2 linked regions of the Drosophila melanogaster genome follow. Changing the gene in region 1 together with any one later gene gives a genetic interaction. Each region holds a gene or a part of one and is shown on either strand. Other genes may lie near its edges. The genes, in order: Syb and gzl.

Evidence for each region.
Region 2: of Syb (region 1) and gzl, changing one suppresses a phenotype caused by changing the other (phenotypic suppression), as found in Drosophila melanogaster (one study listed by BioGRID).

What each region holds. Positions count from the first base shown.
Region 1 is NT_033778.4:10,248,757-10,254,398, forward strand, and holds Syb (synaptobrevin), read right to left. Parts: upstream 3,662-5,642; 5' UTR 3,526-3,661; intron 3,417-3,525; exon of another isoform or gene 3,319-3,416; intron 3,229-3,318; 5' UTR 3,219-3,228; coding exon 3,172-3,218; intron 2,458-3,171; coding exon 2,123-2,457; intron 1,831-2,122; coding exon of another isoform or gene 1,814-1,830; exon of another isoform or gene 1,613-1,813; intron 1,072-1,612; coding exon 995-1,071; 3' UTR 679-994; downstream 1-678. Other genes in the region: CG12914 (uncharacterized protein), read left to right, coding at 1-102, 186-404; Csgalnact (chondroitin sulfate N-acetylgalactosaminyltransferase), read left to right, coding at 4,231-5,269, 5,384-5,520, 5,581-5,642. UniProt on the Drosophila melanogaster protein: Involved in the targeting and/or fusion of transport vesicles to their target membrane.
Region 2 is NT_033777.3:6,380,917-6,388,860, forward strand, and holds gzl (godzilla E3 ubiquitin protein ligase), read left to right. Parts: upstream 1-1,997; 5' UTR 1,998-2,605; intron 2,606-3,418; exon of another isoform or gene 3,419-3,806; intron 3,807-4,064; 5' UTR 4,065-4,231; coding exon 4,232-4,342; intron 4,343-4,442; coding exon 4,443-4,615; intron 4,616-4,674; coding exon 4,675-4,766; intron 4,767-4,831; coding exon 4,832-5,025; intron 5,026-5,086; coding exon 5,087-5,282; intron 5,283-5,419; coding exon 5,420-5,773; intron 5,774-5,837; coding exon 5,838-5,985; intron 5,986-6,053; coding exon 6,054-6,396; 3' UTR 6,397-7,388; downstream 7,389-7,944. Other genes in the region: TfIIFalpha (transcription factor IIFalpha), read left to right, coding at 1-689, 766-1,353, 1,412-1,613. UniProt on the Drosophila melanogaster protein: Endosomal E3 ubiquitin-protein ligase that regulates the recycling endosome pathway by mediating ubiquitination of Synaptobrevin (Syb).

The sequences.
Region 1 (5,642 bases):
ATATTTGTCCTCACCTGCTTTGGCATCATCGTGTGTGCCGAGATGAAGCGTGTTATCATAGAGTTTCCAACCCTGCTAGTATACACCATTCTCTCGAGCGTGGTAAGCCTCAGGGAAACGAAACGATACACCTACTTTCCCATTTTTAAAATAACGACACAGTATTCCTCCAATTTTGCCCACAGTTTGTCATAGTCTTTGGCGCTTCCATGCGAAAGCCGAACTTCTACCGCCAGGAGTCGACCGGGGACTACATACTGATCGGCCAGCTGTACTACCTCAACTTTTTTGCCCTATATATGGGCTATGTGTGGACGACAGCCTCGTTTATAGAATTGATGGGATGGCGCGCGGACATTCATGATATATTCGTGTACCTGTTCTATCGGAAGAACATCGAATGAGTGGAACGCATGCGTGGACTATCGGAACAGCTGGGACAGAATGTTTATGCGAGACGATTCAGTTCCTGCGGCAATTGGTCAGTGCCTCGATGTCGATGGGGCAAGTTTGTCTGGGTGCCCGCGACTGCTGTCGTCTTGTTTCGATTCGGTTTGCCGGAAAATCGATAACTGTTTCCATGGCACGCGCATCTTAAGCAAAAACGCTGAATGTAAATAAATGGCTCTGTCCGCGAAACGTTTCCATAAAACTTCGGTGGACTTGATGGGTCCGGTTAAAGTGTAGGTGGCATGATGTATTTTCAATTGGATGATATACACGTATATATAATTGTATATAATGCAATACACATTAATGGGACCTCTGGTCTCGGCTACGACACGTAAAAATGTTAAGTTTAACATTAAGATTTAATAATTACATTCTGGTTAAATATATGCTAGACGCAATTTTAGTAAGTTATCCTTTTGATTTTCTTCATCTCCCCTTCTCTCATTGCGCGAAAAGACCAGAAAGGTTTCCGTCCCAGTTGTGTTTGTTTGGTCCTTTTCCATTTCGTATCCATGTGTTTACCTCACTCCCTAGGAGGCCTTTAGTGCGGCGGTGCTTGGGTGATGGCCTTGTTTCCTCCACCACTGCCGCTGTCACTACTAGACGGCCAAACGGACACTAAAAAGGGAAATACGCAGATATTAGAGCTATGTTTATATCAATTCAACGAGATATGAAAAGGATTTCATATCCTATCTCGCATTTAAATGAAATCGCGGTCTTTTTAAGTAAAAGTTCTAACCACCCAGCACATTGTACTGAGCGTTTTGTTGACGAAAGATTTCTTCAGTTATTTATTAATTAACAACTTTTAAAGTCAGATTTTATCTTCCCGCTTACTATCTTACATACCTTTCGATGTCAGCACGGATTTCGTATTGTCATTCTTATTTAATACTTTTTACGCGAGTTTAATTTGAATAAAATCGAAATGACTTTTTAAAATGAAATTTCTCCATAGAACAGAGCCCTAGCCCCAACATTGCACTGTAGATATAACCATTTTTAACTTCTTAATAGCTTTGCTGAAGCTATATACATATGTATGAACTTTATAGTCTACACACGTATGACATGGAGGTTCTAATCTTCGCACACTACAGACTAAACAAATATAACGATAATTAACACTTAGGACAGGCACAAGAACAACAATTACCTTTAGAGCTTTAGAGTTGCTTAGCTTAAGACTTTTATAAAATATAATAAACAATTTAAGGAGTATATAGTAGGAGCCAGTACACGTACACAAACGTGTTAAACGATTAATCTGAACCTTAACTTTGCTGATTGGGAAACGGAATTACATGATTTTTGTTGGCTTTGCTTTTGTTTTTCTGTGAGTGTGTGTTTAATTGTATCAATTGAAAAGCGACACTGCAAGTAAACAGAAATTCACAAGGGGTTGTCATCAGTACGAGTAGGAGTATCTGTTATTGGATTAGTTAGCTGCAAGCCACATGGACAAGTTGTTAGGACCGAAACCACAGGTTGAGCAAGATTAGGGCGTTTGCAGGGCGTCGACTTGCGTTATAGATATAACAATACCAAACCAAACCAGCCACCTAGCTACACTACTGATCTTTAGCCTGATCGAGAAAAACCGCAACCAGAAAGAAGCACCAGCAAGAGGCAAAAAGCCGAAGCGGTATAAAATCGGTTAGCTTACCCAGAACGATGATGAGCAGCACAACGGCTATCACGCCCAGAATGATCATCATCTTCATGTTGGCCCACCATTGCTTGCGCTTCAGCTTGCCGGCCTGCTGCTCGAACTGGGATGCTCCCTGCTCCAGCTGATCCGCACGCTCGCCCAGTTCCGATAGCTTCTGGTCCCGCTCCAGGACCTTCTCCACGTTCACACGCATAATCCCGACCACCTCGTCCACCTTGGCTTGGGTCTGCTGCAGCTTCTTCTGGGCTGCATTGTTGTTCCTGATTTGATGGTCACCGAATTGATTGTAGTTGTCATTCGCGTTCGGCGGTGGCGGAAGTATGGGAAAACTGTACAATATTATGTGTGTTTGTGGGGGTTGCTTACACTTATTAAGAGCAGCAGATGGATCATCAAGCTGCAACGCACAAAAGCACGAGTCTTGGTATATCATGCCATCGTTATCTATGCCAATTCACCTTTCACGTTTTAATAATGGGACTTGTGTCCTATAAATACTTTCTTTCTTCTTAAATTCGGATAGACTAATAAAACTTCACAATCTCAAGTGCTGTTGAAATTCCATTGACAAAAAAAAATATAAAATGAGTAATATTCATTTGTTTTTCATAGATGTTAAATGAAACATACTTAAGTATGTTCAGTTACCATTTGCGATAAAGTGATTAATAAGCAAATTCTGTTTCTGATTATAAGCTACTTGCAAATGTTTTACAATTTAGAATCGAATATAATTAATACTTTTTTGTTATTCGAGTTAATTTGCCATTTCACATTAATATTCCATCTAAGATAGCAACTGACTTTACAATATCTCAACTTAACTGAATGCTTTTAATGACCCTAATTGATTTCAAACTACAACTGAAGCTACCGCTTGGGCAGCAGCATGACGTTTACGGTATTCCAATGTCCGAAAGTGAAGTCCGAAGACTTTACTTCCGGTTCGCTGTGGCCCATATGACTCAGGTGACGTCACTGTATGGGATTTTCCTTGCTTTTGTGCGCTGAGCCTGTTGATTCGATGGATTTCCACCACTTACTCGTTGTTGTTGGATCCCGAGGGGGAGGGGGCTTCGTTGTTCTCCATTGTGAATTTGCTGCGGAAAGAAAGCGAAGCAGAGAAAGGCCTTTATTGGATGTCTGGTTCTTTAAATGGGGAGAATGCATGTTCCATCACACACACACACCCGAAATTGTTTAGATTACAGGGCCGAAAAGAAAAGAAAACAAAACGCAGCACACGCCTTATCTATTCGGCCTATGAATCACTCGATTTATAGGAATGCCATCACCTTTGCTCGAAAAAAGAACTTGTTGCATGCCGCACTGCCAACAAACGCTGTTTACATGGGTGGAACGCCACCCCCAACCACCCACCACCCCCGAGCACTCACCTTGACAATGTGCCTGTAGAATACTGCTGTGTATTTCGGGTTTTCCACGGAAAACTGCGGCTGCTTTTTAAATAGCACTATTTTTTTTTATAGAAATATCAGCTTGTGATCAGTGTGACCGTTGAACTATTAGAGCTGGAACCAAGCCCGATACCTTATCGATACTATCGATGTTTCCTGAAAACCCCTTGCAAATATAAAAAGATAATACTTATCTAGCTTATAAAAAACATGAATTGGTATATTTAGTATGTGTATCGGCGCACAAATTATTGTTAACAAGCACTTGCATTCCATTTTTCTTTAGTTCCTTGCAGATGATGTTTGATTTCAAATCAATGTCTTATATTATTGTATCTTATTTTATTACTTAAATTACCAGTGCCGCAAGCCAAAATGAAATTTTTGTTTGCTCTTAACTGATTTATCTTTAATACTTTTACAAAAGATCAGCGAAAATTATTAATAACGCACTGTTGCCTAAATAGCAGAGACAAAAACCAATAAACTGTTCTACCGAGCCATGTACATGTATAATATGTAATAAAAATGTAGAATTCCACAGCAATGTATAAAATTTGTGATAATTCGTTACTAGTTTTTTTTACAGTCTCAAATGTGTGTTTGCATTTTACTATTGCACTTAGATAACTAATTATTTTATTATTTTCAATAGGTTGAAAATTTTGTAAGAAACTATGGAAAATGCATAACTCCCTGGTGACCAAGTTGCTGCTGCGGCTTTTGCTGCTCTTCGCCTTGTTGACCGGCGCCTCCATTGTGGTGCTCACAAAGTGCGGATTCGATGAACTGACGACGAGGGAAACTCAAGCCAATAATCCGAGTGAATCCAGCGGATTCAGTTACACCTTAAGCGAACGAGAGGCGGAAATTGAGCGGCTGAAACAGGAAGTCCTGGCTCTCCGCACTCAAATCCTCTTTCTACAGAATAATCGCAGCACTGCCAAGCCATCAAATGGCAGTCTTCAATTGCAAGAAACCACCGCGGGGCCACCAACTGCACCACTGGGTCACCATTACGACTGCAGCAGCTATATTCGCAAGCAGGTGGGCGCCGCAGAAATTCTGCATGGACTGCCGCTGAACAACGAGTACGAGCTGATACCCTACAATCACTTCACCTTCACGCGAGTATATCCCATCGACTTGGGCCTGGGAAAGCGCGTGGTGGAGAAGCCCATCGGTTATCGACGACGTGACCTCATCGAGGCGGTAAACAAGGCGCTGGAGAGCCTGAACAGGAATCACTCAGCGAGAATACGAGCCAAGGGAGCTGGTTCTGCAGCGGCTTACGCCTCGGATGTGATCAAATACACCCTGGATGACTTTATCGAGGGCATATACCGCAACGAACCCACCACAGGCACCCAGTACGAGCTGTACTTCCAGAGTGTCAAGCACCAGGCGAGTCCAGTGCGGAGAGCCCTGGTCATGCGACCATTTGCTCCTCTGCAAACGGTGCAGCTATCGGAGCTATCTTCCAGTGTGGATAATAGTGGTGCCCCTCCAAGTCATAGTCCGCCCATAATCCACGTGATACTACCGCTGGCTGGACGTCTGCACAGCTTTCGCGGCTTCCTGCAGATGTTCGCCAAGCTAGAGGATCGTCGCCTGGAGCTTATTGTGGTGTACTTTGGAACCAGTGGATTGGAGCAAGCTAGGAGCCTGGCTGGACGATCCCAAAGGACTCAGTTTTTGGCACTCAATGAGACTTTCAGTAGGGGTAAGCACGGGTTTCGTTTATTAATATTACATTTGTTTCGTTCATAATACATATGCAAGTTTATAATGCATTACAAATAATATTGGTAGTTAATAATAGCCATTTTGCTTATAGCCAAAGCTTTAAGACTGGGAGCGGAGCACATTCAACCCGCTGAGGAGGACGTGCTGCTCTTCATGTGCGACGTGGACATTATGTTCACGACCAAGTTCCTGGAGCGTTGTCGCTGGAATGCAGCGCCTGGAAAGAAGGTAAATATATCTGCTATTATTTAAATTACTAATACATTAACATCTATTTTCAACGCTTAGGTCTACTACCCCGTCGTATTTAGCCTGTACAATCCGCATGTGGTGTACTCACTGCAGGGCAA
Region 2 (7,944 bases), on another chromosome or scaffold:
GAGGAGGATCAGCCCAAGTTTGGTGCTGGATCGGAGTACAACCGGGATCAGCGCGAGGAGGCGCGCCGCAAGAAGTTTGGCATTATAGCGAGAAAGTACCGTCCAGAGGCACAGCCATGGATCCTTAAAGTGGGTGGCAAGACTGGAAAGAAGTTCAAAGGCATCCGCGAGGGCGGCGTAGGCGAGAATGCAGCTTTCTATGTGTTCACCCATGCACCAGACGGCGCCATTGAGGCATACCCCTTGACCGAGTGGTACAACTTCCAGCCTATTCAGCGCTACAAATCGCTGTCGGCGGAGGAGGCCGAACAGGAATTTGGTCGGCGCAAAAAGGTGATGAACTACTTCTCCCTTATGTTGCGAAAGCGTCTGCGCGGCGATGAGGAAGAGGAGCAGGATCCGGAGGAGGCTAAGCTAATTAAGGCAGCCACCAAAAAATCCAAGGAGCTCAAGATCACTGACATGGATGAATGGATTGATTCCGAGGATGAGTCGGATTCGGAGGACGAGGAGGATAAAAAGAAGAAGGAGCAGGAAGACAGCGACGATGGCAAGGCCAAGGGAAAGGGCAAGAAGGGCGCAGACAAGAAAAAGAAAAAGAGGGATGTTGATGACGAGGCCTTCGAGGAGTCGGACGATGGTGACGAGGAGGGCAGAGAAATGGACTACGACACCAGCTCCAGTGAAGAGTATGTGCCCCAAACGATTCTGATAATGGCAATACAATTTGGACCACATCTACTAATTTCTTATACCCTATTCTAGCGAACCAGATCCAGAGGCAAAGGTGGACAAGGACATGAAAGGCGTGGCCGAGGAAGATGCGCTCCGCAAGCTGCTTACCTCCGATGAAGAGGAGGATGATGAGAAGAAGTCTGATGAGTCGGACAAGGAGGATGCCGACGGCGAGAAAAAAAAGAAGGATAAGGGCAAGGACGAGGTATCCAAGGACAAAAAGAAGAAGAAACCCACAAAGGACGACAAGAAGGGCAAGTCGAATGGCAGCGGTGACTCGTCCACAGACTTCAGCTCTGACAGCACAGACTCCGAGGACGACCTTAGCAACGGACCGCCCAAGAAGAAGGTCGTCGTCAAGGACAAAGACAAGGAAAAGGAAAAGGAGAAAGAGAGCGCTGCGAGCAGCAAGGTCATCGCCAGCAGCAGCAATGCCAATAAATCTCGCTCGGCCACTCCAACGCTCTCGACGGATGCCAGCAAGCGCAAGATGAACAGCTTACCCAGCGATCTCACCGCTTCGGACACAAGCAACAGTCCCACCAGCACGCCAGCAAAGAGGCCTAAGAACGAGATTAGCACATCGCTGCCCACTTCCTTCTCTGGCGGCAAAGTAGAGTGAGTAAAGCCGTGATATACTGGAATTCCTAATTCTAATTTCATGTATTTTGTTTAGGGACTACGGCATCACCGAGGAGGCGGTGCGTCGGTATCTTAAGCGAAAGCCCCTGACCGCCACCGAGTTGCTCACCAAGTTCAAGAACAAGAAGACGCCTGTCTCCAGCGACCGTTTGGTCGAGACCATGACGAAAATCCTGAAGAAGATCAATCCCGTCAAGCACACCATCCAGGGGAAAATGTATCTCTGGATCAAGTAGCCCGCAGTCATGTGATTTTAATGTTTCATAACTCAAATGCATTATTGTTCAACACAAAATATAAACGCACCACTGAAAATCGGTTAATTTTCTTGGTTAATTCGAAAAGGCAAGTAGTATTTTGCACAGAAACTGATTTTAACCAATTCATTGTATTTGTACTTCTAGAATCTTAAAAACTAGTTATTAATGCTATATCTTAGTATTATATTTCTATATGGTTTCAGGTTCTGAAGTTGAGAATTCTAAATTCTGTACAATGATCTGAAACAGTTGCTGAGAATACTGGATTTTAATATTTTTAAAATTTTAGTCGATAGCTATCGAAATATGGGAGTAATCGATGTACGAAAACATCGCCGTCAGGAAGCCAGCAGCAGCTATACATCGATTTAGTTCCAGCTCTAGCCCTGTATATGTGTCTGTGTTCGGGTGGGATGTAAATTCTAATATCCGATAATTAGAAAAGTGAACCAAACCCAAAGCGTTCTTATCGCGACTGTCATGCTCTTTTCGCAGCCACTGCGCTGTCCCCGCTGAACCACGACCACCAACTAAAGGAACCCGAGGAGTCCGAGCCCCAAAAGGGAGCAAAACAAAGTACAACGCAATACCAGTGCGATGGCGACGAGTGAGGAGGCGAGCGAGTGCTGAAAAAATAGGATTGGATACAGGAACTGGCCAGAAGTCGCTCCAAACGGTCAACTAAGAGCACGAGAAGCCCTAATCAAGTGAGTGACCAGTGGATTTACGCGAATGGGCGTCGGGAAAGCAAAAGGAAATCGCTCAGCTGCTTTGTTGTTGTGCTAATTGAACGCACACAAGCACAGTAGCAGGCACGCACACAGAGGCGCCTAAAAAAAACAACAAAAGCGAATATACGAAATTTAAGTGCAATAACTTGTGGGCTGCTGCCTCCAATCGAGGCCGCTTTTCACCTGTAACCCACCGTTGTACACCATTCAGGAAACACCTGCCTAGTGCCTATGTATGTATGTATGCGTGTTTGCGTGAGCGTATGCCCTCCCCCAAAAAGGAAAACCTTGAAACCACACTCGTGCCTTGTAAAGTTCAAGGTGTGTGTGTGTGCGCGTGTTTGTGTGTTGGTGGGTGGGTGCTGCGTACGCTGTGTAATGTGTAAATTGATATCGGCCTTCCAAACAAAGCGAATTAACGCGAATTGCATTCCTCGTCGCTAAACATTCAATCCGTATGTCAGGATTGTTTAAAACAATCCAGTCAATACATATGTATCTCTACATATCCAGATAGCTACTCTAGCTTTTTTGCAAGCGCTTTTGCAAGGAAAATTATATACAAGTTTTGAAAATTGCGAAATGACCATACTATTAATTGGCAAAAGATCGCCAAGTTGCTAAAAAATTGTGTAGAAACATATGCGATAGTAACCAACATTTTAATAATTTGTTGAACTACTTGTTTGTCAAAGGAATAGCATTCTAGTTGAAATCATCTTAAAAACAAACTCCTTCTACACCGTAGTCGTTTCTTTATAACATGCCATGAAATGGAAATAGAATGTTACATGGTAGGATCACCAACTCATACCTGAATGCAAAGACTGTTGGGCAATCCGTAGGGCGTAATTCTATTAAACGCACGCGCCTCCCCAGATTGAATTTCTCATTGGAACAACGAATGTCGGCCTCCCATTTATTGTTTAACCATCCAATAAAAACAAAGTCACGTTCTCATTGGAGCCTTTGCTCCGATTGTCTACCGATGTGCTAATGCCAGTGACGTTTTCTTTGTCAAATCGTAACTTTAATAAACATTTTGTGACATATTTGCACACCTCCCCTCGGCTGTGTATTAGCAGAATTTGTAATATATGTACGAATAGAAACTTTCCACTTTTTCTGCCCCAACTGTGGACCGACGGTGCGTCGACGCTAAATAGTTAAATGTGCATGCGGTCTGGGTTCTGGTTTTAGCATGGAGCGGTGTTCGTGACTCATCAACCTATTTGTTCCGACTACAGCAGCTGCCGCCCAAGATCTCGGCCACTATTATTTGATCGCGATAAAATTAATTGATGGCAAATTGAGTACAATAGCAGCCAAGGAGCGAAACGCGTTGATTTTTCTGTTCTGTTTGAAGTAACCATTAATGCATTCGCGAAAACCCGAACGAACCGTCGTCTGCCTGACTGTGTCAACAAACAAACCAGCTGTAAGTGCAGCGTGACTGAAGAAACGCAAATTTTTTCAGAGTAAGCAAATCAACAATACCCCCAGTTGGCCGTTTATCTTATCAGCTGAGCTCTTTGTTGCCATGGCCTCGTAGGCGGAGAGGTTTACGCCTAGGTTGACTACACGCAGGATAATACTCGAGTTGCAAAAATTATTATTATTATTTATATAAATAGTTATAGCACCCAAATAAATAATCATTCATAATATGTTAAAAAACATTTTCTTTTGTTTTAAGTCCGAAGTCCAAGCGCACAGAATCGCTGGCGGTGGGACACAGATGAGACATGCGAATGGTGCGGATGTTGAAGACAAATCGCTACAGCACTGGACATAGCGGACTAGAGCAATAACAGTACAGACCAAGTCCCGATCATCTCCAGAACGTGTGTCCTCCGCGACAGAATGTCCAAGAGAAGTTGCCAGATACTCACCCTGTTGGGCTTGTGCCTGGTCTGTCATGAGGCGACCTTGGTCGGGGGCCACGTGCTGGTTTACCGGAAAGCAACCAGCCAGGCAAGTTCAATTAATGACAAGTTTAACTTGCTAATATTTTAGAAATATTATTACAAATTGCAAATACTTATTACGCCCATCGTATATTGTTTACTCACAGTTGATCGAGGAGTTCAATGATCTGCCAGCTCAATTCGGTCCCAATCTGCCTTCAAATGGTCTCAAAGTGTATGTGGTTCCCGCTAGGCGCCCTTATTACGGTTGTGATAGCCTGGACAGACCACCGCACCTGAAATACCCACCCTCAGCCAAATTTGTGGCACTTGTAGCGCGGTAAGCTATATGTGGTAGATATAAACACTTCAGTTCGACCTAACTCAAATCTTTTGTAGTGGCGAATGCGTCTTTGAGCGTAAGATACGAGTGGCCCAGAATGCGAGTTATTCTGCTGTGATTGTTTACAATAATGAAGGCGATGACTTGGGTAAGTGATTACACATAGGTGCTCAGGTCTAAATATGATTTGTTTAAACCCATATTCAATTACAGAGCAAATGTCCGCCGAAAACATAACGGGTATAAGAATACCCTCGGTTTTCGTGGGCCACACGACGGGTAAAGCGCTGGCCACTTACTTTACGACCGAGGTGGTGCTAATCATCAACGATGAGCTGCCCTTCAATATCAATACACAGTTAATATTGCCGTTTTCCATTCTGATCGGTATGTGCTTCATCATAATGGTAAGAAATCTGGAGTTTTAACGCTGTTTTACACAACTGAATTGCTTTGATTGCCGAACAGGTTATCTATATGATCTACAAGTGCATCCGCGAGCAGCGCCGCTTGCGTCGCCATCGACTGCCAAAGAGCATGCTGAAGAAATTGCCAGTGCTCCGATATACCAAGAACAACGCAAACAACAAGTACGACACCTGTGTGATCTGTCTGGAGGACTTCATAGAGGACGATAAGCTTCGCGTGCTGCCCTGCTCACATCGTAAGGGATACAGTCTTGGTTATTTGCTCAGCTTTAGTAGTTTCAGAATATATCATATACAAATGCTTAAACTAATATGACATCGCCAGAAAATTCTTTAATGCAAAGACAACATATTAATTCGTTATTACTTTCAGCCTATCACACGCACTGCATTGATCCATGGCTTACCGAAAACCGTCGGGTGTGTCCCATTTGTAAGCGCAAGGTTTTTACGAAGGGCGAAGCGCGTGCAAGTCGGAGTCGACAGCCTTCTTTGGATAATGTCACGGATACGGATGACGACACAACGCCGCTGCTGCAGCAACAGCAGTCCAATGGTAGGCAGGTGGGTCAAGTGAGCTCGGCTTCTTCGGCTGGTGGAGCAGCTGGGAGCAGCTCAAGCGTTGCGGCGGCGGCTGTCGCTGGAACCACGCGACATGGAACCTTCCGCCGTGGTCACGCCGGTCGAAATCCGTTCGAGGAGTCCCAAAGCTCTGACGATGAGAACGGTACGTCTGCTGCCGAAATATTTTTTTTGATTTTTTTAAATAACACACCCTATTACTTGTACAGCTCTGCTGGCCTCTACTGTGCGCCCGGCCACGTCTTCTGGAGCACATGAACGCATCAATCCCTTTGATCGTGCTCCGAATCTACCGGCCCACCTAGCCGAACAGTTAACTGAGAGTCGTCGCTCGGTCTGGTCGAGAATAAATTTTGCGTAATTATATATTTGTGATGAAGCTCACTGGTAGAAGGTGCATAACTTCCTGTTTTTACTGCTTTTAGCTCGTTCTTCCGCCGGCAGCCAGCTGTTATTAGTGTGGCGGCGCCACCCTATCTGGAGCGCGTTGAGTCCGGTACCAGTGCCATGGGTCTGCCGGTGACGGGGACAATTGCTGTAGCCTCGCCCGCATCGAACAACATCCTCAATCCGAATTTAAGCGGCTCCTTTAAGGACGAAGACGATATGCCACCGCATCGTTCGATCTACGAACCGATAGCAATCAGCACGCCTGCAGCTGACTCAGCAACAGTCGACGATTCGGCGTTTCTGCAAACGCCCACGCAAGGCGGCATAGGCGTGGCCGCCCTGCCGCACAGCGCATCCGATCGCCAGTTTCTCATATGAGGCGAGCTAGTTCGCCGCGAGTCCTTAGCCTGTAGGTTGTAGGTGGTCGTCGATCCTTGAGAGATGAGACATGAGCCCAGCCTGGGTACGAGTTTTTCGTTTGGGTTCGCGATCAGCGCTGTGGCTGCCAGCTTCTTTGTTTTAAACAATTAACATATGTTTATTATTAATATTAATAAATATGTAGCCGAACCTTGTGTTGGACTGTGCGCTGTCCCACTTCCAGGGCACCCACCCACAAAAATCCACACAGACACGATACACACACACGCGTCATTTATGTGCGTATAGAAATTGTGATTTATTTTATATACATTTTACAATTAACCCAATAATTGGCAAACGAAATACAGCCTCGCCGGCAAACTCCCAACCAAAAATGTAAACGATAGATGGAAGAGAAAAAATACCAAGTTACCACATCTAAGATTAAATTGTTTACCTGATTCGCATGAATCTTTGATTCAGTTGTTCTACAAAATAAAAAAAAAAACAAAATATTAAAGCAACACTCAGCACACCTATTAAACTGAATCACGAACATAGTTACGTTTTAGCTAAGATCGTCTTTTTATTTCGATGTTTTTGAGAACTGCTTTTCAATACTATTACAATGAAAACAATTAAATCAAATGATTGAGAGGCACTGGCCTGTATATTGTACATTATTCTCGTTTTAACTAATTTTAAGTTTACTGTGTAGCATATGAAACTGAAATCCATTGATGCAATAGATTGTCAACTCATCTTTTCTTTGAAGAGCAGAGTCTTTAAAATATGATCAAATTATATTTCAAGTCAAAACCGATGCCACACTCACACACATTTGTGATTATTTTTTCCCAAAAATAATTAATTATGCAACAAAAATGCTGTTCCCATAAAAACGAAATCAATTAGGGCATAGATGCAAATATATATATTTAAAAATGCTGTGGCAGTGTAACCTAAATTTAATTTACTTTCAACAAAATAAACGTAATGGACCTAAGCTAATCAATCGCTGTTTCTTATTAAATTAAAAGTTCTTGGCTGTGGTATATTTTATCTTTTATTTTTTTGTAAATAGAAACTAAATAGGATCCAGGACACGTAGTCTGTCAGTTTATTTCAAAACGAAAACAAAGGGAAAACGGAACGGTATCATCGACTATCAGATACCTCTTACTTAGCTATTGTGGGTGCGGGGGATCAATTCAAAATTCTTATGGAATCTCGCTGGAAATTTGCATAACATTTTTAAATTGATTCAAAAAATAAATACTTCTTCCAAACTGTGTTAAAATAGTATAAATTCAAAATATTTATAGAACAATAGGGTGTGACAGTTTTTGGCTATCGATAGAATGATATCAACAAAATCTCAAGACTTCAAAATTGTGGCCTTTACGAATTTAGTATAACATTTTACTCCACGAGGAATTGGTATAAAAAAGATATCATATTTAAAGCATACTTTTCGGATATGCGACAAAATCGGACGAAAACTGCTTTTTCAATTTCGTGGTTAAAAGGCTAACGGTAACATCGTAAACCTAACAGAAAATT